4 linked regions of the Lonchura striata genome follow. The protein of the gene in region 3 interacts with the protein of the main gene of each other region in a biochemical or structural test. Links are inferred from orthologs where the notes say so. Each region holds a gene or a part of one and is shown on either strand. Other genes may lie near its edges. The genes, in order: PEX7, PEX12, PEX5 and AGXT.

What was found.
Region 1: the proteins of PEX5 (region 3) and PEX7 form a complex in vitro, tested with the Homo sapiens proteins (3 studies listed by BioGRID). The link is inferred for Lonchura striata from reciprocal best matches to the Homo sapiens genes PEX5 and PEX7.
Region 2: the proteins of PEX5 (region 3) and PEX12 form a complex in vitro, tested with the Homo sapiens proteins (2 studies listed by BioGRID). The link is inferred for Lonchura striata from reciprocal best matches to the Homo sapiens genes PEX5 and PEX12.
Region 4: the proteins of PEX5 (region 3) and AGXT are reported together in a solved structure, tested with the Homo sapiens proteins (2 studies listed by BioGRID and IntAct, with this or other methods). The link is inferred for Lonchura striata from reciprocal best matches to the Homo sapiens genes PEX5 and AGXT.

Annotation. Positions count from the first base shown.
Region 1 is NC_134605.1:50,688,015-50,695,018, reverse strand, and holds the start of PEX7 (peroxisomal biogenesis factor 7), read right to left. Parts: upstream 3,018-7,004; 5' UTR 3,001-3,017; coding exon 2,877-3,000; intron 1,599-2,876; coding exon 1,541-1,598; intron 52-1,540; coding exon 1-51. UniProt on the Homo sapiens protein: Receptor required for the peroxisomal import of proteins containing a C-terminal PTS2-type peroxisomal targeting signal. Specifically binds to cargo proteins containing a PTS2 peroxisomal targeting signal in the cytosol.
Region 2 is NC_134622.1:5,984,638-5,991,583, reverse strand, and holds the start of PEX12 (peroxisome assembly protein 12), read right to left. Parts: upstream 3,014-6,946; 5' UTR 2,997-3,013; coding exon 2,871-2,996; intron 1,893-2,870; coding exon 1,348-1,892; intron 697-1,347; coding exon 297-696; 3' UTR 1-296. UniProt on the Homo sapiens protein: Component of a retrotranslocation channel required for peroxisome organization by mediating export of the PEX5 receptor from peroxisomes to the cytosol, thereby promoting PEX5 recycling.
Region 3 is NC_134604.1:29,894,231-29,901,966, reverse strand, and holds the start of PEX5 (peroxisomal biogenesis factor 5), read right to left. Parts: upstream 3,018-7,736; 5' UTR 2,995-3,017; intron 2,785-2,994; exon of another isoform or gene 2,765-2,784; 5' UTR 2,712-2,764; coding exon 2,562-2,711; intron 2,152-2,561; coding exon 2,116-2,151; intron 1,924-2,115; coding exon 1,791-1,923; intron 1,107-1,790; coding exon 972-1,106; intron 1-971.
Region 4 is NC_134612.1:4,677,544-4,684,772, reverse strand, and holds the start of AGXT (alanine--glyoxylate aminotransferase), read right to left. Parts: upstream 3,010-7,229; 5' UTR 2,962-3,009; coding exon 2,797-2,961; intron 2,673-2,796; coding exon 2,480-2,672; intron 2,143-2,479; coding exon 2,078-2,142; intron 2,006-2,077; coding exon 1,905-2,005; intron 1,693-1,904; coding exon 1,622-1,692; intron 1,297-1,621; coding exon 1,212-1,296; intron 957-1,211; coding exon 861-956; intron 631-860; coding exon 561-630; intron 438-560; coding exon 342-437; intron 147-341; coding exon 18-146; intron 1-17. UniProt on the Homo sapiens protein: Peroxisomal aminotransferase that catalyzes the transamination of glyoxylate to glycine and contributes to the glyoxylate detoxification.

The sequences.
Region 1 (7,004 bases), on a different chromosome or scaffold from region 3:
TCATTATTCTCACTCCAGGTCACATCAAACAGTCCATCATTCCAGTCAAAGCTAAATTGGAAAAATGAAGATATTTGTCTGTGAGAAAACATGACATAAAAGTCTGAGCTAGTTCCATGCAAAGAAACTATTTATATCACCCTTTTTACCATTCTAAACAGCATTTTTATATATTTGAGTTTCAAGTGAATCTCCTCACTATTAATTTACTTGTTTGAATGTCAATTTCTACAACGTTATGCCAGAATAGATTAAGTTAAAGCATAAATGAGCCAAGGACCTTCCACACATGAAGAAGGAACTCTTATTCCAGTCTAGAACTTGCCATGCAAAGAGGTACAACACGCCTCAGTCTGATCTATGGTTTCTCCAGAATATAAGAGCACTTTGTTTCTAACAACTGTGGTAAAGAAAGAAATAAAGCTGTGTTGGGAGGGCCTTATCCAATTCACACCACTCTGAATCTCAGTCACAATGAAAACACAACAGAAATATAACAATGAATTTACTGAAGAACTCTACACCCCCTTGAAAATGCTTTCAACACACCAACAATTCACAATATGGTATCTGATGCCTTTTATTAGTTATTTTGCGACAGCTACTAATTACTGCAATATTATCTGATGGGAAAAACTGATTTCTTTATCTCCTTTTCACTGAAGGTTTAGCTAAGCTTAGGTCAAATTTGATGGCACTCTGCAGTAATGATCAGGTGCACATGGAACACTTTGATAAACAATACAGTCTGTGGGGTCAGGAACTGAAGAGGACCTTCTACCACAAAATAAGTGGAGTCACTGAAAACAGAAATGAACTGTACTAAACCAGAGTACTTAACAGAAGTAACAGAGTGTTGAACATCTTCAAAGAGTCTTATTTTATAATTATGAATCAAAAAAGGTTTCTCAGAATATGATTAACTATTTTTAAGCATTTTCATGTCAACCACCTTAATCTAAACAATCATTGTTTCAAGACTTTCCTTAAAAAAATTTAGGTTAATAATGAACAAGTATTAAACTCCTTCCTTTCTAACCTCTCTCCTCCTTCCATCCACAACAAAATCAATCTCCCTAAAACCCCTAGAAAATTGTATCTCCTAGGAAGGACCTCCACGACTTGATGTACCTTCCTGCTCTATTTTCAGTATAAATCAATCATAAGGGCATACATCTAGGTGTCAAGGCACTATTCCTAAAAAGCTAGAACTTATAATTTCAAGCTAGGGCAGAGAAGCTCCTCTTAATGTACATTGTCAGTTTTCTACAAAATAGTTTACACCATGGAAATGATGCAATGGTGCTAGCCAGATGATTTCCCATAACAAATTCGATGCAATGTAAACATAACTTTTGTATTGTATGTAAATACAAATACATTCATTTCTATGTAAATACAAAGACCTGCATTCAGTAGTTACTTCAGAATTTAAAAAATACTTTGTATTGCTAACAATAACCAAAAGTATTTCAGTTATGCCTGGTATTCACAAGTACAGAGTTTTTATCTTAGAAAATTAAAGATAAGCCTGTATTACCTCCTGAGCAGAACAATCCCAGCTTCGTTTTGTTCCAGCACTGCCAGAGTTCCACAACCTAAACCAGCAAAATGAAACAAAACATCACAACTAGTTCCCCAATGCCAAAGGAAACTGGGGTAGTTCTGAAGTAGCTTCAGCGTGCAAAAACAAAGGGCACATGAACTTTAAGAGGCCTAACAATTACTTGCATAATTAAACATCTTGTCTTTAAAATTAATTTACATCACATTGTTCTGGTTTGATTTTGGGGGTTTTGGTGCTTCTTTTGTTGGGATTTTCTTGTGGTTTTTTGTTTGTTTGTTCTGTTTGTGTTTTTTACTGCAGTATATCTGTAGGTGAGGTTGGAAAAGACTTGCTTATAAAGCATAAAAGTGCATTTTCCCCATGGCCTCACATGACAGACATACCAACACAGAGTTGCTTTTGTCTTTTTGATAACACAGCAGACCAAACACTTTTTTCATCCCTTCCTGAATACAGTAATACAAACACAGCTCACCATAAACTAAATAAACAATTAAATTCTGATAAAATGCACATCAGTTCTGCTTCCTCATCTGATGAGGATATTGTTAAAGTAATTCTACACTTGGATTTTTTAAAAAATTAATATTTTGGAGTATCACCGGAAATGAAAAATATGCCAGTACTGAAAGACGCTCAGCTTGGCTCTTTCAAGAGACCACAGGGTCACTAGGGCCTGCCTGGACACTCGGGGACTAAGACAAAAACAGCTGAAGGCACAGAAACACAGAGATAGCTGAGCTGGAAAGGACCATCAGGGCCGAGTCCAGCTCCCGGCCCTGCACAGCACCATCCCAAAGAGTCACGTCCGAGAGCATCCTCCAAACACCTGCGCTTCTGTCCGACTTGGTGCTGTGACCACCTCCCTGGGGAGCCTGTTCCAGCGCCCAACCGCCCTCGGGATGGAGAACCTTTTCCTGGTATCCAACCTAAACCTCCCCTGACACAACTTCAGGCTATTCCCTCCAGTTCTGTCACCGGAGAAAGTTATCTTCGGACATTTTATTCACTGTGTACGCCTTTACATTTACTGTCGACCCTATCAAGTGAGCGGGTGCGCTGCGAGAAGCACCAGGGCAGCAGCGGGTTGGGAAGAGGCGATGCCGGCGGGCTGCGGAGGGCAAGGAGCAGCTCCCGCGGCACCCCCGGCACAGGCTCCGTCTCAGGGCAAAGCAAACGCAGCGGAAAGGGAAGTCGTCCCCAGACGCTTTGGCATTTGACAGACACCGTCTGTCCTTCCGCACACCCGCGTTTCCAGCCTCCTCCTCAGCCGGGCTCCCGGTCACCCCCGCCGCGCCGCCCCCCGCACCTGCCATGCCGTAGTACTGCGCGGCGGCGCAGGCCACGCGCCCCGGGCAGTATGGCGAGAACTCCACCGCGTACCCGTGCAGCCCGGGCAGCCGCAGGGCGCCCGCGCCCGCCGCCGTGCCCATGGCCCCCGCCCGGGCCTCCGCCGAGCCGCGGAGGAGCCGCGGAGGAGCCGCGGAGCAGCCGCCGCGCCCCGGCCCCGGCGGAAGCGCCCGCCCGCCGGGCGGTGCCGGGGCCGCGGCGCAGCCACCGCCATCTTTGGCCATGGCAGGGGCGGCCCGCGCGGCGGGCGGGGAGCGCCGGGCTCGGAACGGCCTTCCCGCCAAAGCCAGAAACGATCCGCGCTTTTATTCGCCACGCAGGACATAGGCCGGCTCGGTGTGTGTGCACCAGCTCGAATGCATGAGATGTTTCAGTCATAAGGATGTGCGTTAGCTTTCATTTTTCCTTTTAAAAAACACCTTCTAAGCTTTTCATTCTCCTAATTTCTTTAATAGATCTGCATATTTTATCATTCTTCTCAGTATGCAATTGGGTTTTATGGAAGTCTTTTTATGAATAAACTTCTTAACACCCGTGACAACTTCTGTTTAAGTCACTGGGAATTTTGCCTTTGAAAGGAAGAGGTGGGCAGGTGATTAGCAAGCTTAGAAAATTAGTAGCAGAGCAGCAGCTGCAGCTTTTGCCATACTACATCCTATGTATATATCTGTATCTATGTCCCTTAAAATACAGACACTGAGATTATTCCCGTTGGACACACAGCACCCTAATTAGTCACAATGACCCATCTTGTTTAAAGATAAAAATGCAAAAGTATCATTTTACACTTTCAGAAATTACAGCAAAGGTAAATTAGATTATTTAATCACAGATACCTCATGAACTTGGACCATAGTTATGTAGTCCCGCTACCTAGCCTTATATTTAAAACTAAAATGCAAAAGTATCATTTTACACTTTCAGAAATTACAGCAAAGGTAAATTAGATTATTTAATCACAGATACCTCATTAACTTGGACCACAGTTATGTAGCCCCGCTACCTAGCCTTATATTTAAAACTAAACCTTTACTACAAAGTCTATTGTAAAGCCACAAAAATATTCATTTGCTTAAACTGGCACTCATATGCAGAATTAGGCGGTTGTACTAATTCTTCAATCTTGTAATAAAAATGAAAACAAGTATATTTATTAAATAGCCTCCAGGATTTTAGAATAAAATCAGTTCAGTGCAAGTGAAGCTAAATTTAATGTATCCTTTGGATTACTACAGCAGTTCTCAAAGCCTCATAACTGGCAATTTACAGGCTGCATTTATTGACATCATGTGAGATCAGATTTTTTTAACCCTGAGGCAAAGGAATACCTTACAGAATTGGCTGCTCCGGGCCAAATTCAACCAATTTTAGCTTCTGTGGAATCTTCTTACATCAATTTTTCTTTTAAAAATGCAAGTTACAGGACAGTTTTCTGATCAAGTGTTTTTAAATTAATTGCCCTTTGTGACTGGAATGTCAGTAGCAATTCTTGAAAAGACACAAGGCCACCACAGGGGTACAGTAAGCAAATTTGGACATTGCCATTTACAAGGTGTCAGGGAGTCAGATGCTTAATGGTGTAAAGTGCCGTTACTCTATAGACAATTTATCACTGAATTGGAACAGTTTCATCAAGTGCATTTTTTCCAAGCTGGTAGATCTTTCGTAATGAGTGAAATTCTCGAAAGAGGTTATACAAGCAGGAACCAGTTCTTATCAGTGGCCCAGCTTTATTTTAAAGACACAATTAAAAGAATTTTCATAGACATAAATATCAAGAAGTGGATAAAAGGTTACAAGGAAGTCCAGAGAGAAGGACTAGTTCTCAAACATTTTTTTCACAGATAAACTTGTGAATTCTGGTTTTGAAGATCCAGGAAGTAGAAAGCAAAATAGTATGGTCAGTGAAAGTATTTGAACAGGATGGTTTCAAGCTAGAATAACGACAAAAGAAACAAAAGCTATTTTACAGGCAAAGAGAGTAGGTCCCAACAAACGAAGTTGCTAAACACGACTCTATTTCCTCCTCAGCCTCTGAGCAGCTGAGTAAATTCAAGAAATATGAAGGACCACCAATCATAGCAGCATTTTACATGCAGCTACTGAAACCAAATGATCTACCAGCCAACTCCTTTCAGCTAACACCAAATCACAGAATCACAGAATTAATTAAATTGGAAAAGACTTCTGAGATCACTGAGCGCAACCTATGCCTGAGCACCACCATGTCGACTTGACCATGGCACTCAGTGCCGCATCCAGGCTTTTCTTACCTACCTCCAGGGACAGTGATGCCACCACCTCCACTGGCAGCATATTCCAATGTTTGATCACCCTTTCTGTGAAGAAATCCTTCCTAATATCTGGCCTAAACCTCCTGGACTCAGTTTGAGGCCATTTCCTCCCGTCCTGTCAAAAGTTGAAGGGGAGGAGAGCCTGACCCCTACCTGCCTACACCCTCCTTTCAAGGCGCTGTAGAAGTCGATATGGTCATCCCTGAGCCTCCTCATCTCCATGGTGAACACCCCCAGCTCCTTCAGTTGCTCCTCATCAGACTTGTGTTTCAGAGCCTTCACCACCTTTGTTGTCCTTCTCCGGACTTGCTCCAGCACCTCAAGGTCTGTCGTGAACTGAGGGGGCCCCGAACTGGACACAAGACCTGAGGTGTGGCCTCACCAGCCCAGAGGGAGAATCCAGCCAGATTCTTCCAAACAGACGGATCCTGCATGCAGCAGTAGATGGCAGCCATGTTCCACGCAAAAAAAAAAAAAAGAGTCCTCAGTTGAAGGAAAAAAATCCCCAACTACACTGAAATTCAAAACACAATATAATTCCAATTAAAAACGGGAAAGTTGCGTAGTATGCAGTTTTCAGCTAGCTTTATGCAGCTGTCACTTCTCTATGCTCTGCTCGCAGAAGTACCCTCCTCGTTAGCATTAGAGTAAGTGTTTGGGATCCTTACTGCAGTATCTCCACCCTTTCAGACCCAAGAGCTCTGCTCTGTTACAAACACGTCTCTCATTTCCTCAGCTTGCTAGCTGACAGCCAGTTTAGGTGTGAGCTGAGCTGGCAACCATCATTGCTGTGTGCACAAATCCTTCCAAAACCCTTGATGGTCATCAGGAACAGTAATCAGAAGGGCTCGAGTCCAAGAGTTTGAACAACTTATAAGAAGAGCTTTTCTACCAGAGAAGGTAGAATGTGAGCTATTTCCTCATGTGCAAGGGCAGGTAGCTTAAAACACTGAAAATATTCAAGGAGAGCAGTTAATTTTTGTCTGTCTTTTAAACTATTGAACCATTCCCTAGGCTCCATGCCATCAAGATTTTCTTCCACAAGTGAATGCTTATTGACCGATAGAAGCATAGAGATGTTTCCAGTTGAAATCTTCATATCATCATAAAGCTGAATGTGTTGCAGCTTTAGAAAAAGCATTTAGAATCCCAAGGTTCATTTAAGATTGAAGAACTGGCAACATTGAAAATAAATAAATAAAAACAACCAATGGGATTGCAGTAAGGAATGCAAAGGGAAAAGACTCCCCTTATATGTCTAAACTGAGGGTTATGGCATTTGGAAGGAAGAGGCAGTTAGCATGGAGGTTTTCTGGAAGTTCAAAAGAATAAAAGAAGCAAGAGGAGGGAAAGACACTGGAGCAAATGAAGATTTAGACATGGAGATTTAGAAAGAAATGTGAGAATTATGAGGAAAGAGTATGAAGCAAGAACAGCACACAATCTTCACCATTCTCACAAGAAAAGGGCTACAAGGAAGATCCTGACTGGTGAAATATCCATCCCTGATGATGTATCCACATTGTTCGGTCAGGTTTTGCTGGCTGCCTCCCATATGCACCATGCTGTAATTTGGTAAGCAGATTCCCCATGTTATTCCTATTCCATGATCAGCTGCATCCCTACACAATGGCCACCAGTCTCTATTTACCTTCTGCCCGCACTTAAATATTGTTTTAGATGTTCAGTGTGACTATAAGTGTACCTTTTCTTAAAGACTGGCAGCTGCCTGCCTCAAAATACTGCCTTCTCCCTGCTGAACTTAGAAGTTACTTCTCATTGTCTATAGTGAT
Region 2 (6,946 bases), on a different chromosome or scaffold from region 3:
TCTTCGATTTGGATAAGAGGAATGTAGATGTGAGGATCAATGTTTCCTCCCTTTCAGCTGGTCTTTTATGGCACTTCAGTGCTGGCTGACAGGCAGGGGCTGTATGATCCCTCTGCAACTGCCAGGATGTTTGAACAGCTTATCAGCAAAGGGCAGAGCATTGCCAGGGTGTGCAAAGGCAGCAAAGCTGACCAACCACCGAGTCCAAGGGCGCTGCAGAGCTCACCGAGGAGCTGCGGTGCTCTGAAGCCTTCCAAGGGATGCACAAAGAGGTGCTGGAGACTCCTGGCAGCCCTTCAGCTCTCAGGGGAGTAGAGTTTGACCAGGTGCTGCAGCTCTGTGGCATAGCCCGTGACCGGGCAGCGCTGGTGAGCCTTCACGTAGCCGTGGGCGCAGCGGTAGCAGAACACGAAGCCGGAGGTGGCCAGGGCCGTGGCGTTCACGCGGACCTTGCGGCACAGGGGGCACACGGTCCTCAGGCTGGGCAGGAGAGCAGAGCCGGGCTCCTGCTCCAGGTGCACGGGCGGTGGGGGCGTGGGCAGCGCTGTCAGGGACTTGATGGTCTCCTGGTTTTCTGAGGAGTACCACCAGTCCAGGAACTGGAGGAAGAACACGCTGACGGACAGGCCGGTGGACAGGGAGAAGGCAATGCCAGCCAGAGCTTTCCTCAGGGCCAACTGCACTCGTGAGATAAAGCTGGAGCAGAGAGAAGCAGGAGAGGTGGTTACTACTGCACATTTATCCATCTAGAAACCATGGGAAAAGCACCTGGGGAGTGACTGCTTCACACAGCTCCTTAACGCTAAGTTAGTTGGTCAATGCGTCCCCCTATTTGCACTTACTAGGATGTTTCAGATACTTTTTTTATTTTAAGGAATATCCAAATGCTGCTTTTTTGAGAAGTCTAAATCAGAAGAATTTGGATTAAAGGATCCTGGACCACAGAGTGTTTCACTCCTGCATCACAGGGTATTGAGTGTGCCCATGACTAACTGCTGCTTAGGAAAATCAAAGAAAGAAGTTTCAATCCTTTCAGCAACATTGCTGCAACTGTTGCACCTCCTTTGCTGGAAAAGTGCAGGGGAAGACTGAACAGAATAAAGGCTTCCATGCCCAAAAACGCCCCCAAATTCTGAAATATTACCACAAAATAGTTTAAAGCTAATCCCTGCTACTGGTTTACTTATTTTCACTCACAATACATCCTTTTGGAGCACATTTTGTCAAGAGCAAACTTTCATCTTGAATTTTTGGAGAACAAGGCACTTGTACTTGCAGCATCATCTCTAAATTTACATGCCCACAGAACCCCCTGGAGAGCAACACCTGAGCCAGGTTCTGCCATACCTGTGTGTTTGACTTGAGGTGGTTTCAGCCCATTTCTTCTCCAGGGCCTGGATATCCTCTGCAGTCAGCCTGACCAGGCGGACACCAGCCAGCTTTAGCATGGGGGAATGATGCTCAGCCTTGCCCAGGATGTAGCAGAGCTGCTGGATAAGAAACCAGCCCTCCCAGGTCATGTTTACATAGGGGTAGGCAGCTAGAAAGGCTCTGTAGAAGCGCTTCCAGGATGAGGAGGGAGGGTGGATGGAGTACTCATCCTCCTCCCTCAGGCTGGACACCAGTTTCTCCAGCTTCCCTTTCAGATAAGGAACAAGAACCAGCAGGAGCAGAGACTTCCAGTGCTGCCTCTTTGGCAGGCCAGCTGTGGCCAGAGGTCGCTGTCTGCCATCTCCCATTGGGATCCTCTTCATGCTGTAGAAGTTCTCAGAGAAGGATGCACTGCACCTGGCCAGGGAGTGCTGCTGGAGCAGCAAATCCAGAAGGACATAGATCTCATCAAACCAGTGCCAGAGGAACCCATACCGGGCAGGATTAGACTCAGCAAGCACCTGTTGGAAAAGGGACACAAAACAGGAGGAATCAGAGTGGTCTGGGCTGGAAGGAGCATTATAGATCATGCGGTTCCAGCCCGACACCTTCTGCTATCCCTGACTGCTCCAAGGCCCGTCCAATCTGGATTTGAACATCCCAGGGATGGGGCAGCCACAGCTTCTCTGGGCAGCCTGTGCCTGAGGAAGGGAAGGATGTAAAAAGCAGAGTAAAGCGCTAAATTATAAATCAGAGCAGCTATAAACGATGCCTCTCATTCTCACCATGTTATAAACGAGAATTTATTCAGCCAGATTAAAAATAAAAATAATTTTATTTGCGGTCAAATTCTATCTAGCCAGCCACACAGAAAGGACAGAGCCGAGCCCGGGATCGACCCTGGGTGTGCAACAAGGAGTCAGCCTCAGCAGAGGTTTTCTCCTATGCCCACACCTCCATCCTGGTACAAGCGGTTTTTATAGGGAAAATTCCGCCTGAGGCCAAGATTCCAGCAGTTAGTCTTTTCTTCTATTCAGAGTCTATAGGTTAATAAGATTTTCTTTTTTTGGTGATGAGGAGAAATAATTCAATGTCCGGAGTAGTTGAATTCTTGATGAGAGTTTACGGGAAGGCTGCATTCACATGGATCTGTCTGAGGATTTCCATATCCATCTTGGACGATCAGCACCGATGATCAACACCTGGAGCCCAGCCATGGCCCAGCTCCTGGCCGAGCCACATCTTTTTACTTATAAATCAGTTTCCAATATACACCCAGTCTCGCCTGCAAGGGTGCGGGGCGAACTAATACGACGGGCATGATTTAACAAGTATTCAATATTACATATTTCATACAAGGAATGGCGCAAATTATATTTATTACACATAACAACCACAATTCAGGTGGCTCCCAAGCGTCCCGCTGCCCCTGAGCGCGGCCGGAGTCACACGCCAGCCCCCCCTCCTCTCCCTTCACCCGCGGCCCGCCTCGCCCTCACCTTGACCAGGTGCTGCAGGGCGGGTTTCACGGCGGCCATCAGGCTGTCCTGGGCCACCGCCTCGAACACGGACGGCCGCTCCTCGCCGGCCGGGGCGGCCGTGAGGTGCGCGCCCAGCTCCGCCATGCCGCCGGCCCGCCGCCCCGCCGCCAGGGGGCTCTCCCGGAAGCGCGCGCCGCGCGCCGCCGCCGCTCTATGGTGGCGGGGCCGTCGCGAGCCCGCCCGGCCCCGCCGCTTCCGGTTCCGCCGCCGCCGCCCCCGCAGCGGTGAGTGCGGTCCGTGAGGGGGCCGGGGCTGAGGGCGCTGGGAGCGGCGGCCGGGCGGCGGGGAGGGGCGCTGGTGGGGAATGAGGAGGGGCTGAGCGGGTGCTGGGAGGGGATCTGGGAGAGGGGAGGGCGGCGGTGGGGTGCTGCCATAGGGTGGGGAGGGGTGGGTGGGGGAGAAGCTGTGAGGTACTGGGGTGGGGCGGGGAGAGAGGGATGCTGCTTAGGGACGATGGGAGGGGATACTGGGGGGCACTGGTATAGGTGGGAAGGGGATACTGGGAGAGATGAAGGGTACTGGGAGGGACACCTGGGGTGGGGTGGGAAGGGGCACCAGGGGGGTACTGGGAGGGGGTGAGTGCTCCTGGGAGGGGGAACTGGAGTGGCGTGGGGAGAGTCGCTGGTCAGGCACTGGGAGTGGTTCTGGAGGTGGACTGGAAGAGGATGGGAGGAGTGGGCAGGTGGTTGCAGAGGAGGTGGAGGGGTGAGGAGTGGGGTCAGTGGGTCCTGGGGTGAGGTGGGGGTGCTGGAGGATGGACTGGGATGGGAATGAGCACAGCAAGGTACTGGGGTAGCAGTGGGAGCAGTTAGGGATAAGGGCTGGGTACTAAGAGGGACTGGCAGGCAATGCTGGGAGGGAAACTGGGATTTGTGGGGAATGTGCCTGCAGCTGGGGGATCCTGGGAGAGATCTGGGGAAGGTCTGGTGGGCAGGGGGCTTAGGGGGATGCCAGTCTGGAGTGTGGGTGGGTGCTGGGAGTCCTGCTGGAGGTGTGGGAGGGGCTGGCAGCAAAGCTGGGATGGGGCTTCCAAGGAATGGTGGTAGGTGGTAGGAGGAACAGGTGGAATGGGGACCACCAAGGGGGTGTTGCGTCTCCAGAATGGGAACAAAATCCTTGTGCCAGCACAAGTTCAGGGCTGCAGAGCAGCTCTTCCTCTGCCATCCATGTTCCATTGTTGTGTTTATCTTCCTGGTTCTCCAGTGGCCCTGGGCCACACTTGGGCTGTCACACAGCTCCTTGAGAGGCTTTCCAGGAAAAATGGGTGGCACCACTTACACTGGAATTAAACCAGGGATCAGTTGAGAGATTTAGGGATTGATGGTTTCAGTGTCCAGGAGCTTGCCTTAATCCAAGACCCTTAAACCTGTCACCCTCCTGTGTGGGGTCAGTGCTGGGGAGCGGGTGAGGCTGCCTGGGGTCATGTGTGGGGTCAAGCAGGTGTTGGTCAGACACAGGGTCAGGTTTTCTGTGTGGGTTGGGGCTGAGGAGGCTTATCTTGCTTTGGTTCAGCCTACACTGAAATATCAAGCCACTGTTTGTAGCATTAAGCATTGCTGGAGCTTTCTGGAGCCATTCCTCATTCTCATCTCTTCTCCTTTGCTGGGGTTGGATCAGGAGGAGCCTTTTGCTGTCAGCTTTGAACACCTCTTACCTGTTTCCATCTCAGCAAGTGCTGGGCATAGAACAATAGTGAGGAGGGGCAGTCTAAAGTAGATTTTTCTTCTGAAAATACAAGGCTGTTCTTGATGTTCTAATTTACCTTAGCTCTCCTGGGTTTAGATTTGCGTACAAGGAGCTGGCATTTTCTGCAGTGACACAAACAGCAGTGTTTTAAATATCTGGTTCCATTTGCTGTAAAGAATGCTGAGATTGTTAGTGATGAGATAATAGCCAGTGCTGCTGGCAGGCTGTCTCTGAACAGTGTGCAAAGCAAGCTCTGACACACATGAAGCAGCAATCTGTGTGCTTGTGAGAAAAGGAGCTTTACCCTCTGCTGCACCTGGAATAGGGCAGGCTGGTTGTTGACCTAAGCTCTCATTTAGATCCATGAAAGAAGGTTGGAAAGGCATGAGCTGTGCTTAGCCCTGTCTGAGCGTTTCTAGGATTCTTCATGTTTCCAAGTATATGAAAGGAGAAAAACAGCAAAATATGTTGCACTTGAGGTTTAACAACCATCTCTGAAAGCCAGCAGGGTTCCTTCCTCTCTGTGTGTGGCTTTATTCAAATGGGCTGATGTTTATGGTGTTTGGGCTGGGTTTTTTTTCCCTCCCCTCCATTTTCTCTCTAATCTGCTCTGGCCCCAGTTAAAGCTGTGTTAGAGCAGCTCAGCTGAGATGTGACCCTGGATGACAAATCCCCACATAATGCAAACATCAAGGCCACGTTCAGTGCTTTGGGCATGGCACTGTGCCAAATACTCTCACAGAGAAAAACATTTTAAGTCTTCCTTTTAAGCTGAGCTCAAACCTGAAGGACTCTGTCAGCAGTAATATTGCAGCTGAGCACAGGCTCTGATTTTAATTACAAAACAAGCTTCACAGCAGCCTCTGCTTTCAGGGGGGGCTGTTAGATTTTTGCTGGAAGAATTGCATTCATTGTGGCTCACATGGCTTTCCCAACTCTGTTTTGGAAGGAGGTTAAACCTCCTCTGCACCAGGAATGTGTTTCCAGAGCTGTCTCCAGGCTTGGCAGGAGCAGAAAGGGAGAGAAATCAAACCAAACCCAGTAATTCAGCCTAATTGGATGAGGTGGAAACCAGGTGGGCACAGGGCAGGCAGCAGCTCCAGGAAACTGGGAAAAGCAACAGGTTGATCCTCATGCAGATGTTTGGCAATTGGAAAGGATGATCCCAGGAGAAAGGGGTGGAAATTGGGGCATTGCCCGTCGGCAGCTGCTTGGAATTCAACTGCTGAGGTGTTCAGCTGGTCCAGGTGGATGGGGAAAAATGGAATGGTGATGGCATTGGGGTTGGTGAAGGGATGAGGGAGGAAGGAGTTAAGGAGGAACAATCTGACTTTGCTGCTGGGCAGTCCTGGAGTTCAAAGCTGTGCTGGTCCTTTTGTTGCTGAGCCAGCAAGACCTGCAGGGTTTAGAGGCAAGACAAGGCAGCATTTAGAGAACAGATGATTTACTGCTTTGCTGGCAGCCTTTAAGGTCATGGAAGGATGTGTAAGAAAAGGGGAATTTGGGCCAGAAAGATAGAAAAAGGAGGAAAGAAATTATAACATCCTTTTTGAGATGGTTTTAGGGTCATAGTTGCTAGCATTGATAAAGACTTTCATCAAAAGCAGTAAAAGTAGTCACTCCTCTGGTTGTTTTGAGAATTATCTCATATTTGTCACAGAGCTAACACTTGTAAGAATAAAATGATGGATATCCACATGAATCCTGCTTGGGCAATCCCTGTATTCCAAGGCAAGAGAAGTGCTGGTGAGACCACTCTCATGGCTCTGCTGAGTGTTTGCTGCTCCAACAGCATTTTTCCATCCTGTCCACAGGAAAAAAAAAAAAAAACAAAGCAGAAGCAGCACTGAAATAACAAGCTTTGTGTGTGTGTTTCAGAGGTGGGATGTCAGATCTTGGCAGAGAAATATTTCAATTTCAAGCCTGAGAGAACTGAAAAGTAATGGCTTCTCTTTTCAAAAAAAACCACTGTTTTGCATCTGGGAACAAAAGGAGGGAAAGGAATGAAAGGCCTGGGGGTGGGTGTTGCAAGTGGGGTTAATTGTGCCTTCCATCAGATGCAAGCACAGGCAGATATCGTTAGGGGGAGATGAGATGACAGTTTTCTTTGTCTGAAACGTGGACTTCTCACTGCCAGGCAAGACACTGGGTGTGCTTTTCCTTGGAAAATGAATCTGTGTACCCAGGAAGGACAGCTGCAGAGCATACCAGCATCTGCTGGTTATAAGGAGTTCAAAAAATGCCTTTTGCCTGCTGAGACTGAGAATTTAGGAAGCTGTGCTGAGCATCAGTGTTGTGTTTTTACCAAGCCTTTTAAATCCCTAGCTTTGCCAAGTAATACCAGCAGC
Region 3 (7,736 bases):
TTTATGCTTGCTTCTTCTACCTTTGTTTATGCTGACCTAAAAATCAAGCCTTTGATTCAGACTGTGAATTAATACAGATGCCACTGTGGTGACGATAAATGTATGATTTTCTACTTTAATATCACAACGTATTCATCTGCTCCCCATGGGATACTATGTAGGTCAAGAAAATTAGCAATTCATTAGAAGTCTCTGTCAAAAGCACAGCCTAAAAGCACTAGGTTTTCATCAGAACTTTCTCTAAGACCTTTGTAACTTCTAATTTATATTCCCAGAAATGTAAAGAGTGGAGGTCAAAGAGTGGAACTATCCAGCTTTCTACAGTGGCCACTCCTAGAGAGGAAAATAGCATATGTTTGATTCTTTTCCATAATTTCCAGATTAGGGCATGTATGGTAACAGGACCCTATTCCAGAGCCAGTTCCATACACAACACAGGATGGCTTTTCAAATAAAGCTTAACCTTTGAGCTAGAAACACTCACTTTGCACACTTCTAGGCTGTAACATCCCTCTACCTTCATACCGCTGACACACAATATTTGGCCAAATCACATTGGAGACAATTTACCTTTGTACCAAAGGCAATTTAACCTTACAAGAGGGAATTAGAAAACATGTAAGCAAGAAGCAGTACAAGGCCATCTCCAACTTGCATCAGTTAAATCATAGTTTTTATAAAAGCAGTTTAAATAGCATGCTTCTCCTAAATTCCCTAAGTAGTCTAAGCTAACAACAAAAGACCCTTACACCTAAATAAAAGCTTCCACACCACATTGCTCATATTTTGACTTAACCATAACACCAACACAAAGCAGCTTTCCTACCCTCTACCCCATTAAGGCTGCTAAAGGAAACACTGACTGCTGGACCCAAAGCAATACTCTAAATTCACATTCAGTAGCTCTCCCCTACACACAGGCATGTGACTGGACGTCATCTTGACAGTAATTCCAAAAAAGGACACTTCACCTGTCACTTCAGCAATGAACTCCTGTGACCAGTCAGCCTCATTGTAATCTGAAGAGACATCACCAGCATTATCTGCTGCAGCCAAGAATTCCTGGGTCCAGTTTTCAGACAGTGCCAGGGCTGCAACACCTGGAGCTACATAAGGAAAAAAAAAAATTAGAAGTGAGGCCTGGAGCACTCAAAGGCACCATTTACGTGTTCCAGGCTAGCCCTAATCACCTCTGATCTTTCTCTTTGTTAGAATAAATTCACAGAAATATTCCACTTGGAAGGAGTCTCTGGAGGTTGCTAGAGTTCTCACAGCAGATTAACATATATACATACAGAACATTTATCAGGTAACTTCTGAATTTGTCCATGGCTGGCAATTCCCCAGCCTCCCTAGATACCTGTTCCAGTAGTGAACTGCTTCCTCCAAGGGAAGAAATGTTTCCACACACCTAGTCAATTCCACTTGCCACAAATTGTGTCCATTACTCCTTGTATTTCTCCTGACTCTTACTGTGAAGATCCTGACCATGGCTGCTGAAGACAGCAACAAAACATTCTACCTGCTGCCCCTCAGGCTCCTCTTTCCCAGGTTAAAATGTCCAGGACCCTCAGCCTTTCCTCTTATGACATGGATTCCTGTCCCTTGAATATTTTATTGCACTATGATGAATTTATTCCAGCACATCAGCATACTGGGAAGCCCAAATCCAGAAACAATACTCCACATACAATCTCAGAAGAGCTTAATAGATAGGAACCACCCTGCTAGGAGCCTAACCATAAACATCAAGACATTTTCCAGTCTCCACCTACTTCAGCTCCCCTCACCTCGCTGAGGGGCCTGTCGGAAGCTTGACTGTTCAATCTCTTGCATCTCAGCCAACAGGTCATCCATCTTAAAGGTCTGGGGTGCACGGGACAGCAAAGGGGCATTCTGAGCTTGCAGAAACTCTCCAACCAGCTGCCAAAGACAGAGATGGATTGCAAACATTGCGCAGAAGATGAACAGGCAGAGACGTGGAGTGTGAAAGAAGGGCTTGTCAGAAGAAAATATTAGCATCAGGTAAGGGGTAAAATAACAAACAGTGTTGATGTGAAAAGCTTTAAGAAGATTAATCAAAAGCTATAAGGAGAAGAATTAATCTCTCCTTACCTCATCTTCGGTGGCTACTTCCAGTGGTTTGGATACCTGCGGGGAATGGTGGGCAATTGTGTCAACAGTTTTGATCCCATGTCCCTCTTTACACACACACAGTGTGACCCAATTAGATCATATCTTCCTCTTCCTTGAGCTCAGCCTGTCAACATTTTTCTTGCACTAGCTAAAGTAGCAGGAACACTTTGAGGGATCCTGTCCAACCCCCTCCCACTACTGTCTGGCTTAGGGCCTGTGACAGCAAGGCACACAGCTCTCCACAGCCGCCAGCATCCCCGAATGCCCACAAACACACCCTCACCCCCAACCCCGCTTCGGGTGGCGGGCCTTTTTCTGAAAAAAGGCACAACACGACACCAGCTGCGCGGAGAGCCACCTGCCCTGCCGACCCCAGCCCCGGCAGGACCCAGCGAGCGAGCAGAGCAGAGCAGAGCAATACTCACGGCTGCGGCTTCGGGCGTCCCGGGGGGCCAGCCCAGGGAGCCCTGCAGTCCTTCCTGCCGCAGGGCCTTGTCCTGGGTGAAGTGTCCCGCCAGCTTCATCAGGGGGTTGGAGCCCCCGCACTCCGGCTCCACCAGCTCCCTCATGGCCATGGCGCCGCGCACGGAGCGAGGGAGGGCCGGGCCGAGCCCCGCCGCGCCTGCACCTGGCAGCGGGGCGGCACGGACGGCGGCTGAGCGCCGGGCCGAGCGCCCGCCTGACCCCGGCCCGCCCGCCACCCGCGCCTCCCCGCGGGCCCGGCCCGGCCCGGCACGACACCCGCCTGCCCGCCCGCCAGGACGGCGCGGCCGCGGCCCCCAGCCCCGCGGCCCCGGCTGTCCCCGACCCTCGCTGCCCGGCGCGCTCCGCCCGCGGGGCTCCCCCGCCGCTCCGTACCTGGGGCCGCCGCGGCGCGCTGGGCTGCGCGGCGCGGCGGGGCGGGGCCAGCCTTAAAGGCACAGCGCCGGGCGCCCCGAGCGGCGAGCGCCGCGGCCACCGCACCGCACCGCACCGCCACCGCACCGCCACCGCACCGCCACCGCACCGCCACCGCACCGCACCGCACCGCCACCGCCACGGCACCGCCACCGCCACCGCACCGCCACCGCACCGCCACCGCCACCGCCACCGCCACCGCACCGCACCGCCACCGCACCGTACCGCACCGCCACCGCACCGCACCGCCACCGCACCGCCACCGCACCGCACCGCCACCGCCACGCCACCGCCACCGCACCGCCACCGCCACCGCCACCGCACCGCCACCGCACCGCCACCGCACCGCCACCGCCACCGCACCGCACCGCCACCGCACCGCCACCGCACCGCCACCGCACCGCCACCGCCACCGCCACCGCACCGCCACCGCACCGCCACCGCACCGCCACCGCCACCGCCACCGCACCGCCACCGCACCGCACCGCCACCGCACCGCACCGCACCGCACCGCACCGCACTGCCGGAACCCGCGCCCCCGGTGGCTCCCCCGCCGCGCACTGCTCCCGCAACTCCGGAGCCGCATCCCGAGCGGCGTGCCCCTCTGCCGGCCGTGAAACGGTGTGCCTATGTATATGGTGTGTACTATACACATCCTATTGTATTTGCATAATATACATAAACATGTATATATATTCATATATATGTGTGTGTATAGATATTCATATATATATTCATATATATTCGTATATATTCATATATATTCATATATATATAGTAATATATATTAATATGTATCTTATATATATGTTATATATATTCATATATATATATAGTCATATATATAGTCATTCATATATATGTATATGTATGTGTGTATATATATATATAAGATATATACATGTTTGCACCATACCCATCTTGTTTTATTTGTGAATATACATAAATATATACGTACATATATATATATATATATATATATATACTCAACGAGGTGTATATGGTACATATGCATAGATGAGCATATACTGTATCAGTACATATTTGCCCAGCTGGTGGATTGATATTTTACTGTCTGCTCTGGAGTCGCTAAAATGTTTCAGCTGGCAACTACAGGTTGGGAATGCAAACATTTAGCTGAAAAGTATGTGACGCCTTCAGACAAGGCATAGAAATGTCAGCTCCTTTCCAGCCTTGATTCTTCTACATTTGTGGTTCCAAAGGACAAACCACCTGGAAAATCAAAGGTCATTTGTGTGTAGCCTCTAAAAGAATGGGAAAAGCGCCAAGAGGGGGTTGTACAATGTGTGCTGACTCCCGTGACATTAGGTTCCTAGAAATAAATCATTTTCAGAATCAAATCCCATCTTCTTCTTTTCAAAGGAATATGCACCTCTGCAGGGTCCTCTCCAAATTTGTCAGGTTCGCTTCATCTGTCCAAAATGTGACATCTGGTGTGGTTTTAGACACAATTCTTTGGCAGTAGGTCTTCCTGCCTGCTCTCCTTACAGCTTTGAAATTCATGTAGCATCTACAGCCAGTTCTGTACTAACAAGCAGTATGTATGGCTCAACAAGGACTATACTTCTTAAAGTTATAAGAATTTGGGCTGGAGATACAACATCCACACCAAACATGCTTGGGGAGCTTTAGTCTGGACTATGTCTTCTTTGGTCTCATGGAAGCACCCCAATTAGTGGTTGATGTGCCCTATGTGCAGCTCAGCAGCACCAAAAAGGAATCTCGTTTGTACACCGAAGCTGTCCTGCAGGACAAACCCCAGCCCAGCAAACAGGGATCACTGGAAGATTCATTTTGAAAGCACACTTGTGGCATCCTGGAAGGTTAAAATAAGACTCACCTGCTATTACTAGATACCAAATCCTATGTATACTCAGTGTGATCAAGGGTTAGCAAGAACACTTGAAGAGATAGTACAATAGACCAATAAATAACACAAAGACACGGAGAAGGGGAGTGTAGGCATTGAGTTAAGGCATGGACAGAAATCCAAAAGCCATCACAGACTTGGTGGGGAGGAAGAGATGAAGTAGTTTTGACTTGTAATATTTGCAACAAGTTTTTGGGGTATACCCATGACACCAGCTTGGCCTGCTGGTTCAGATCAGGGACAGAGAAACACTGCTCTATTACAGAAAGCCCCCACAGCCTTCCTTCTGAAGGGCTGTATGGCCCTTTATCCCTTAGAATCTCAAAAGACTTTGATGCAACTGGAAGGACCAGAAGTGGCTGTGGTGGCAAAGCATCCAGGACAACCACAGCTATAGTTGTTGGTGGATAAGTATCCTGCTGAAGCCACAGCTATTTCTGCTTGCAGGCAGAAATCAAAGGATCTGATCTAAAGTCAACAGGAAAAGAAACAGAGTCAATGCACCTCTACAAGTGAAGTTTAAATAATTTGGCAGCAAGAGCTAAAATATCAGGGGGGCCAAATAACTCTTGGAGGGATGAGAGAGGCAAATAGTACAGCTCCTGAAAAGGCTATTCCAGGCTCTGCATCCTTCAGCTGTTCTGAATACCAATACTCTGGTAAAGGTGCTGATGGAAACCAGTGACAAAATGGAAGTCTCTGTCTAACTATTCGTCATGCTAACTTTGTGAAATTCATTATTTCTTTCCAAGTACAAAACTTACATGCTTTTATTAAATCTACACTTTCAGGCTATTTCTCCCATTGATCAAGATCATTTGTATATGAATTTTTTTCTACCAAATCCTTTGCAAGACCTCTCAGGTTAATGTTGTCTGCAGATTTTAATAGACACAATTTTCTGGTCCACTGTATAAATTACTGGGGAAAAAACCACACTAATAGCACACTGAAAACATATCTCTGAAGGACTCCTTGATACTTCTTTCCATATAGACAGCATAACATCAAAAACTAATCTTAGAATTTTCCAATCAGCATCAGGCTCTCCCAACAGTGATTTCAGTAGATCTGGTTTCCCATGTTTCCTAATGTGCTTGTTAGACTGCCAGATAATAAAGAGTAAAAATCCTACTGAAATAAAAAAAATTAGTATCTATTGTTACTTCCTTGACCACAAGGACAACTCTGCCATGAAAGATTGGTTTAACTTGATCTCTTTTCTCTGCAAATGAAAACATGAATTGTCTACATATTTATTTGTTCCTGTATCACAGGGAATACAGTAAAATGATGCTGGCAGGCCAGTAATTAATCAGGTTTCCTTTTTTAAAATGGCCAATATATTTGGCCTATTCCAGTCTTCTGAACTTCTCCATTGCCTAAGATATCTCAAAGATAATGGCCAGTGGGCCATTCTCCAATTTTTCAGTTATTATCACAGCATGAAGTTCATCAGCCCTAATTGGTCTGAAAACCTTGACTTTGCCTAAGTGCTTAGAAATCTAGAGTACTTTTTTCCCCACTTGCAACTGGTGCTATTTAAGATATTCACCTAGCCACCACCACAGTGAAGACAAGTGAAAAATGCTTGGAGCTTCTAGGTATCTTTGACTAGTTTCCAATTTCACTGACCAGAAAGCCAGTCTTTGTACTGGTCTTCCCCTAATTGCCTAGGTAGTGAGAAGCACTATTGATAAGCTGATAGTTCTGCTCTTTTCCACCGCAGATAAGGTACTAATTTCCTTTTCAAAGAATCTTTGTACTTAATTTGACTCTGTTGCCATGTGTCCCTTAATTCCTTCTCCTCCAGACTAAAAGCTACAATTTTTTTTCAATCCTTCTGCTTCAGTGGCCAAGGTAGTTATTCTCCTCTGTGAATTCACTTCCTACATTTGTTTCTGTTGTAGCAGCATTGTACCCAAACTGGACACTCAGTCAGTCCCGTGTCACTCAGTGCTGTGAGTGAAATCACAGCAGTATAGAGCTGTTCTGACAGCTCATTTCATCTGGCCTACAGGCTATCCTAAACACATAAACTGATCTGATATGTGCCTTTTTGGCAACAGCATCATGTTGATGTACATTCTGCTTTTTTTAAGGAAGATGACATTCAATGAACTCTGATGTGCTCTGAAACTATGCATTTTAAAAAGCAACAAAGGATCTTTTGCCCCTGAATATTCCCTTTCTCACACTGATCCTCCAAACTTTGAAGTCATGGGTCTAATTTATTCAGACGGTTGGGGTTTTTTTGTGGAGAGCATTGGCCCGTTTTCATATGAACCCAAACATCTGAAGAAGCATCTGTGGTCCCATGAGCGAGGACGAACATCAAGAACCACTTGGCTCTGCTCTTGGACCCATCGCTTTCCCGTGGTCAAAAAAATCAGTTTGCCTTGGCTCCCCTACATGCAAAACAAAGATGAGCTTGTTTAAGTTTGGGGGGTCGGTTTAGAGGCTTGGGGAAGGGAATGATTCCATTGTTTTTAGTGGAAGAGCCTTGAGTGGCCGGGCCAAAGGAGCTGCGTGAATTTTCACGCGTACCTCCGCGCGGAGGAGCCCCGGCTCCCCTCGCAGCGCCCCGCCCGCCGCTCCCGCTGCCGCCGCCCGGGCGCCTCCTCCGGGCGGGCGGGGGCTGCCGCGCCGGGGCCGGGGCCGGGCGGCAGCGGCGGGGCCATGTCGCAGCACAGCACGCTGCTCCACCTGCTCGCCGGAGGGTGAGAGCTCCGGGAGCCGGGCGGGGGCAGGAGGGCGCCCTGGGGCGGGATTCGGGCCGCGGGTCCAGCAGCAGCCGCCGCCGGGAGCCGGG
Region 4 (7,229 bases), on a different chromosome or scaffold from region 3:
GGGAGGACTCTGCCCACCTTGCCCACCGTGGGGCCCAGGCCCCCAGCGATCTCCATGCCGTGGTTGTCCATCAGAAAGGCCGTGATGTCCTCCCAGTTGTAACCCTCGGGCACCCTGACGGTGGTGATGGTGGGAAGTCTGGCCCTCTGAGGAAGAGAGAAACTGGTTTCAGTCCCACGGCCCCTGGTGACCCCAGCGCCGTGCCAGGAGAGAGCATCACGGAGCGGGGAGATTTTTCTCTGGCATCAAAAGCTGCCCAGGCACATCTCCAGCTGCACAGGGCTGTGCCCTCACGCTGCCCCCACTCTGTGGTGCTGCTGGTGGGCTTGCCCTGCACCCACCTCCTCCTCCACAAAGAGCTCAAGCCCCATGTCGAGCAGCCCCTGGCACAGCTGGGTGCAGTTGGCCCGGTGTCGCTCCCAGGAGCTCTCCAGACCCTGTGGGCAGAGAGGAGAGAGAAGAGAAGGTCTCTGCTGCTGGCAGGCATCTCCTGGCACCCACGGCTCCTCCGAGCCCCACGGGCACTGCTGGTGCTCCCCTGCCTGCCTGGTGCCACTCACCACTTCTGCCAGCAGGGCCAAGCCTTCCCGCAAGCTGAAGAAGCTGTTGATGGGCGCCGTGTGGTGGTACCTGCAAGGGGCACCCAGGGGCGTTCAGCTTGGCTGCAGCACGGCAGCCCCTGAGGGAAACTGAGGGGAAACTGAGGCACGGCATCCCCCCTCCTCACCACCCAGTGCAGAGGGTGTGACGAGCAGCCAGGGTGATGGGGAGGCAGGGGGAGGGCGGGCAGCCCCCGAGCCAGGACAGAGGCTGGGTGGGGAGTGCTCGCAGCCGTCTGTAACGAGGGAGACCGCCCTCACCTCCTCGGCTCCCCGTCACAGCCCCAGTAGTTTGCCAAGCAGCCCACGTCCAGATAGAAGGATGGGGGCTTCGTCTTCCTCCTCAGCAGCTTCTCCCTGGCGAAACAGAGTACCGGGGAGAGGTGGGACCTAGACCCCACCAGCTCCAAGGTGGGATCAGCCCTGTGGGAGGCAGGAACTCCCCTACAGTGAATGCAGAGATTGGCTCCAGCTCCCAATCACTGCCCAGGGATGGGATGGGCTGTGCCCCCATAGCACTGCAGAGCAGGACAGAAGCAGGTGGCTAGCAAAGGAGAGAGGTGACAACCTCCCCCAGCCACATCCACCCTGCTGAGACTGGGCTGCTCTTACCTGGCTCGCTCACTGAATGAGATGGGGGCACTGCCAGGGGGTGTGTTGAGGACTTTCTGGGACCCCGAGTACAGGACATCGATCTCTGCCCAAGAGGGAAGACAGCTCCTTAGGAATCAGAGGCTCCCAGCAGGAAAATGCTGAGCCCGCTGACCTAGCTGCAAGTGGTGGGTGGGAAGCACAAGGATGGCACACATGGCAGGTCCCACTTGTTTCAGGCTGCTTTGGGAGGGCCCTGGCACTGCTGATGGTGCCCCAAGGGGAACAGGCTCTCTGGATGCATCTGGACAAGTTTCTAGTGCTGCTAGCCAAAATGCAGGCCGAGGGCCTGATCCCACTGCTCCCTGCCCCTGTCCCAGGCATGAACCCCTTTGTCCCCTGGTTCTTCATGGTGGCACTGTGGCTCTTACCCTGCTGGTCCATGAAGATGGGGGCTCCCCCAAGCGATGCCACTGCGTCCACAAGCAGCAGGCAGCCATACCTGTGGAAGGACAGAGCTCAGCCTGGTGTCCCTGCCACCTCTTCTTGCCACATCTCTGGCTGCAGCCCTGGCATCCTGGTCCCCACAGGAACTGTGTGTCTCACTGGCACCAACTGCTTCCAGCACAACGGAGCCAGAGAAGAGCTCAGCACATATAAACCCCCAGGCCCAAATCCCCGGTGGTGACCTTGGGGTGGCCATCGGGCACTGACCGGTGGCACAGCTCGCCCAGCCCCTCCAGTGGCTGCAGCACCCCTGTGGAGGACTCGCCGTGGGTGATGAAGAGCACCAAAGGTTTGTGCTGCAGCAGGCCCTGCATGACACAGGGGGAAAGTGACCACACTGGAGGTCAGCTTGTGCCCTCTGCATAGTGGCCAGCGCTCACCTGCTCAATGTCCTGTGGCGTGAAGTACTTGCCTGGGGGCTTCAGCAGCTCATAGACATTGGCTCCTGGAAGGAATTTGGGCAGAGGAGAGTGAGGTTTGGGCATGCTTCCCACTGGGCACTCATCTGCTCCATGGGGCAATTGATCATGCATGAACCAGGAGCAGAGCCACCTGCCGGAGTCTGGCCTCCTGCAGATTTGCCCAGTGGAAAAGCCATAAAGCACCATAAATGGAGTGGCATCATTCTTGGAAAAACCTGGAGTGCTCTCTGGCAGAGTGCTCTCTGGCTTTGCAAGCCATGTCACTGAGCACTGCCAGCATTGGGACAGCAAACCAGGGCACCCTGCCTTCAAGCCCAGTCCCCTGAGGCCTGCCACACCACCTGCCTGTTCCCAGCATACCCAGCCTCCTGGCAATATCAGCAGCACGCTGTCCCCAGATGCCGTTGATGGCCACCAGCACGGTGTCACCTTGCTCGAGCAGGTTGACGAGGGCGGCCTCCATGGCACAGTGGCCGCTGCCGCTGATGGCCAGGGTCAGCCTGTTCTGCGTCTGGAAGGCGTACTGGATGCCCGCCTTGATCTCATCCATCACCTGCGGCAGCAGGACACTGGCCAGCACTGCTATTGCTCCTCTTGCCCCAGCAGAGCTGTTCCAGCCCTTCCTGGGGGTGAGGAAGAGGAGGGGAGGGAAGGAAGGCTGGGCTGGGGCAGCTCACCTGCAACACCTCAGGGTGCATGTGGCCCAGGAGCTGGCGAGCGCCCGCAGCCCGGATGCGGCGGGGCACGTTGCTGGGCCCTGGCCCGAGCAGCAGCCTCTCGGGCACGGCCAGGGGCCGCAGCAGCTCCTCCGGAGGGGCAACGCGGAGCAGTCCGGTGGCCATGGCACGCCGTGCTGTCCCCAGGAGCTGAGCCCAAAGAGGAGGAGTAGAGGAGGCTGCCTGAGCAGCTGCCAGCATTGCAGCACAGTCTATCCTGTGCCAGCAGTGTCCAGCGTCCCCACGGACCTTGACCCAGTATTCAGTGCTCCCCCCTACCAGTCTGGACTCTACCCCTGGCTGCCTCCTCTGCCTGGTTAATGTGTCATCTCTGCTATCCCTGTCTTGGGCCCCTCATTTTGGGGGATGCTCCCTTCAGGTATGCCAGCCTCTGGGACTCCCAAGCACTGTGGCAGTCCTTGTCCCCGTGGCCCCCCACAATACGAGGGCTGATGATTCCCAACAGTGTCCCAGCAGGTGGGATCCTTGCTCTGGGCACCTAGATCCTGTGCCACAGGATGGCTGTGCAGAGAGACTGGTCTGGCACAGCTGCCATGGTCGTAGCTCCTCCTGCAGCAAAAAGTTCCTGTTGACCAGGGTGCCCCGACCAGGGACCTGCCCTGGAGAGTGACATCTGGCAGGGTGACAGCCTGAAGGAGGCTGGCCACTGGACTGATGTGCACCAGGGCTGTGGACTGGAACATGGACACAGTCGTTGCCACAGCGAGCTGCGCTCTTGCAGGCACAGCTGGACCATGAGCATCCCAATGTGTCCTGAGGGTGCCACAGGCCCCACGTGGGGTCGATATTCTGTTACCTGCTGTGTGTACCCACAGCACATTGCCCTGCGCCTCACTTCAGCCACATTCTCTGCCATCCACACCCTGAAATGCAAATAAGCTGCCTGCTGCCAGCTTTAGCAGATCCATGAGTGGGTCTCTGCTCAAAGGAGCCCCTCAGTGAGCAAAGCTTTGGCTAGGGATGAGAACAGGGGTGAGCACAGGGATGAGAATTCCCACCCGGCAGAACTGGCACCAGTGGCCGCTGCTGAAGACATACCAGACAGAGGCACGGGGCCAGCAACAGTGCCAGGTGAGAGCACATCTGCACCACTGAGAGGAGCTGGGGGCAGATGAGTTTGATCCCGCATGGCCGATGGAAGCCACAGTCAGCATAGGGACTGCTGCCCAGCCATCATCCCACCAAAGCGATGACGACATATCGGATGAAGAAGATCTCCCTGTCCTCTAGGGAGATTTGGGGCATGGCTGGGGCGGGGAGGGGACGCGTGGCTTCGCGGCTGCCGTGGGGCGAGGGTGGCCGTGCTGCTGGAAACAGCTGGCAGCGAAGGAATAATCCGCTTTCCGCGCAGGCTCTGGATTCCGGGCGCAGACGGGCAGGAGCGGCCGTGCCCCGGGCGGCGGGCGGGGGCTCGGGACCGGGGCACGGGAAGCGCTGCCCAGCGCCGCTCCTCGGAACACTGCGCCGGAAAACAGGGGGAGCGGTGTCCGGACCGGGTACCGGGGCACCGGGGTACCACCGGGCCGGTGCCGGTTGCCAGGCGACATCTGCCGAGCCCGCCCCGTCCCGCCCCGCCCCGCCCCGCCCCTGCGGCGGCTCCGCAGCGCGGCCGGGGCCGGGGGATGCGCTGACGTCACCGCTCCATCCCCGAGCGCGCGCTCCCGGTCCCCGCGTCCCCCTCCGGGCGGCGGCGGCCGCCAACCAGCGCGTGGGGCGGGGACCGCAGGGGCGGGGCCGCTGCCACCCGCACCGGCGCCGGCACCGGCACCGGCACCGGCACCGGCACCGGCACCGGCACCGGCACCGGCACCGGCACCCGCACCGGCACCGGCACCGGCACCGGCACCGCATCGCACCGCGCGGCTCGGCCTCATGCCGGCGCCCCCCGCCCACGGCTGAGCGCCGCGCCCCTCCGAACCGGCCGCGGCCACGGCCGCGGGCATCACAGGTAGGAGCGGGCGGCATCGCGCAGCCCGGGGCAGCCCCGCCGCGCCCCCCGGGGCGCTGGCCGCGGGGGAACCGGCGCCGCTCCGGGGTGGCGGAGCCGCCCCTCGTGGCCCCGGCGGGGACGAGGCGTGGCGGGCGGGAGCGGGATGCGCATCCCCGAGGGTCCGGCGGGGCGGGGGGGCTGCGGCCGGTGGCCATTTCGCGGAGCCCCCCGATGCTGGAAGTTGTGGGTGTGGGGAAGCTGCCCTCGGGTCCCCAGCGCGGTGACCGCCGGGTGCCGCCCCATCTTCCAGAAGGATCCAGCCGGGGTGCGGCGGGGGGTGCCTGCGGACCGGGAGACGCCTCTGCCGCCCCGGCCCCAGCCAGGGTGCGAAGGGGAAGGATGCTATCCCCGCAGCCCATGGCGGGGGACCCCTTGTCACCCCAGAGCCACCCCTGCTCTTCCCTCCAGGGCAGATGGCTGTGGTGATGCTGCTGAGCCATCTTGCGTCATCACCATCATAATGCTTCAGACTTAGACAGCAGCGCTGGAGGGAGTGGTGGATGCCCCACCTGGGGCTCTCGCCGCGGCTAGCTGGCAAGGATGCTGCGATGCTAAGGCTGCTCTTGGCCCCCAAGGACGAGCAGCTGACGGTGACCTTGCACCGTGGAGTGGCTGGACAAGGGCCGCCATGTCACTGCGGGCCGGTGCAGCGGCTGCTCGCTGTTGAAGGGGCAGGTCCCGGGGTGCCGGGCTAGTGCAGAGCTCATGCTTGGTCACGAGGCTCGCACGGAGCAGCCCTGCACCTGCCCTATTGTCTTACTCCTCTGCTTCCTTCTCCCCCTCCCCCTCCTCCTCCTCCCCCTCACGGGGCAGGGACCCCTCCCCTAGATCCCGCAGACCCCGTGTGAGCCGGGCTCCTGCCTGCTCAGGTCCCATGCGACAGCATCAGGGCTCGGGGAGGACAAGGGACCAGCCGAGCATCTCCCGTACCAGCCCACAGCCGGGCACCCTTCTGTCCCAGCGCCCAGAGCAGCCCCACGCAGGTGGCCTCTGTGGCACTGGGGGGCAGGGAGGTAGCAGACCCTCCCCCTCCCCTGGGGATGGCCAGGGGTGTGGTGGCTCTACCATCTCGGCATGCTGCTGCTGACCTCCATTTTGTCTGGGAGGTGGCAGCTGGCGCTGGCGAAGATGCTGCCACCACCCTCCACCTCCCTGCATGTGGCAAGAGCTGCAGCCCCTCAAGCCCTGGGTCGTGTGAGGATCTGTTTGCTGCCCCCTCCCTGGCTACCCTTCTCCATGCCCACCAATGCTGGGCATCCACCGGAGCTCACTGCCTTTTTTGTGCATCTTTTCCCTGCTTTGGGTTGGCGTGTCTGGAAGAGAGGATGGAGGGAGCAGGGATGGGGGGTGGGGTTACTTTGCAGCAGAGATGGGAAGCAGAACCCCTCACCCATGTCCTTGTATTTTCTACTTGTAAACTGAATCCACATGGAAATTCTCAGGGAGGTGCAAACTCTGCCTTGGGCTTGTGTCCCCTGCTGGGGTGGGCAGGAGGTCAGGAGGCACGGGGCAGGGTGCCTGTGGTGGCACTGGGGAAGCAGGGGCTGGCTTTCCTCTGAGAGTGGGGGGCATTTGCCCTTGTCCTGGGCTGTCCTTTGAGCTGCTTCCCTGCCTGCAGGTGCTGCTCTGGAGAAAACTGCACCGTCATGGCCCCTTGTCCTGTGTGGGGCGGGAGGTGGGTGAGGAGCTTGGCTGGCAGGCACTGATGGTGCCATGTCATCCAGCAACGTGTTCCCTGCTGCCCTAGAGGCAGGACAGAGTCTCGTGGTCCCACTCAGAGCTGGGGGGCCCCAACAAAGGGTGCAGGGGAAGGGCTCACCACAACAAAGGCTGGCAGCTGCTGAGAATGCACCGGTGCAGCCAAACCCTCACTGCACCGGGGCGTCCACCCTCGTGGGGCTGGATGTGTGCAGACAAAGGGAAACTCACCTTGGATTTCCCTGGGTGCAGGCAGCTCCTCATCTGCTGGAGCTGGGGGACCAGCAGCACAGCACGTTCCTTAGCCTCCTTTGGGGAAGAGCTTGCTGGTTGGTGGCACCTGGGGACAATGCTCTCTCCTGTTGGTCACCTCTCAGCAGGAGAGGCTGCCAGTTGGTAGCCCCTGGACTTAAGAGCGGTTTCATTAGCTAATCTCTGCCCAATTAATCTTAGCTGATCCAGTTAATCATGGCTCTCCAGGCCTTTTGCTCCTCACTGGGGGTGACTGGCGTGTCACAGGGATGGGCAGAGCCAGCAGGGAAGTGGGGGAAGAGATGCCCTGCAGAACTGGGGGCAGGTCAGATGTTCCCCCTGGCCCCAGGGACTTGGCTGTTCCTCCTTGCAGCCTCCCTTGTGAGCAGGGCAGCCCTGTGGGGGGCAGGGAGGGAACAGGGAGCCGGGCTTT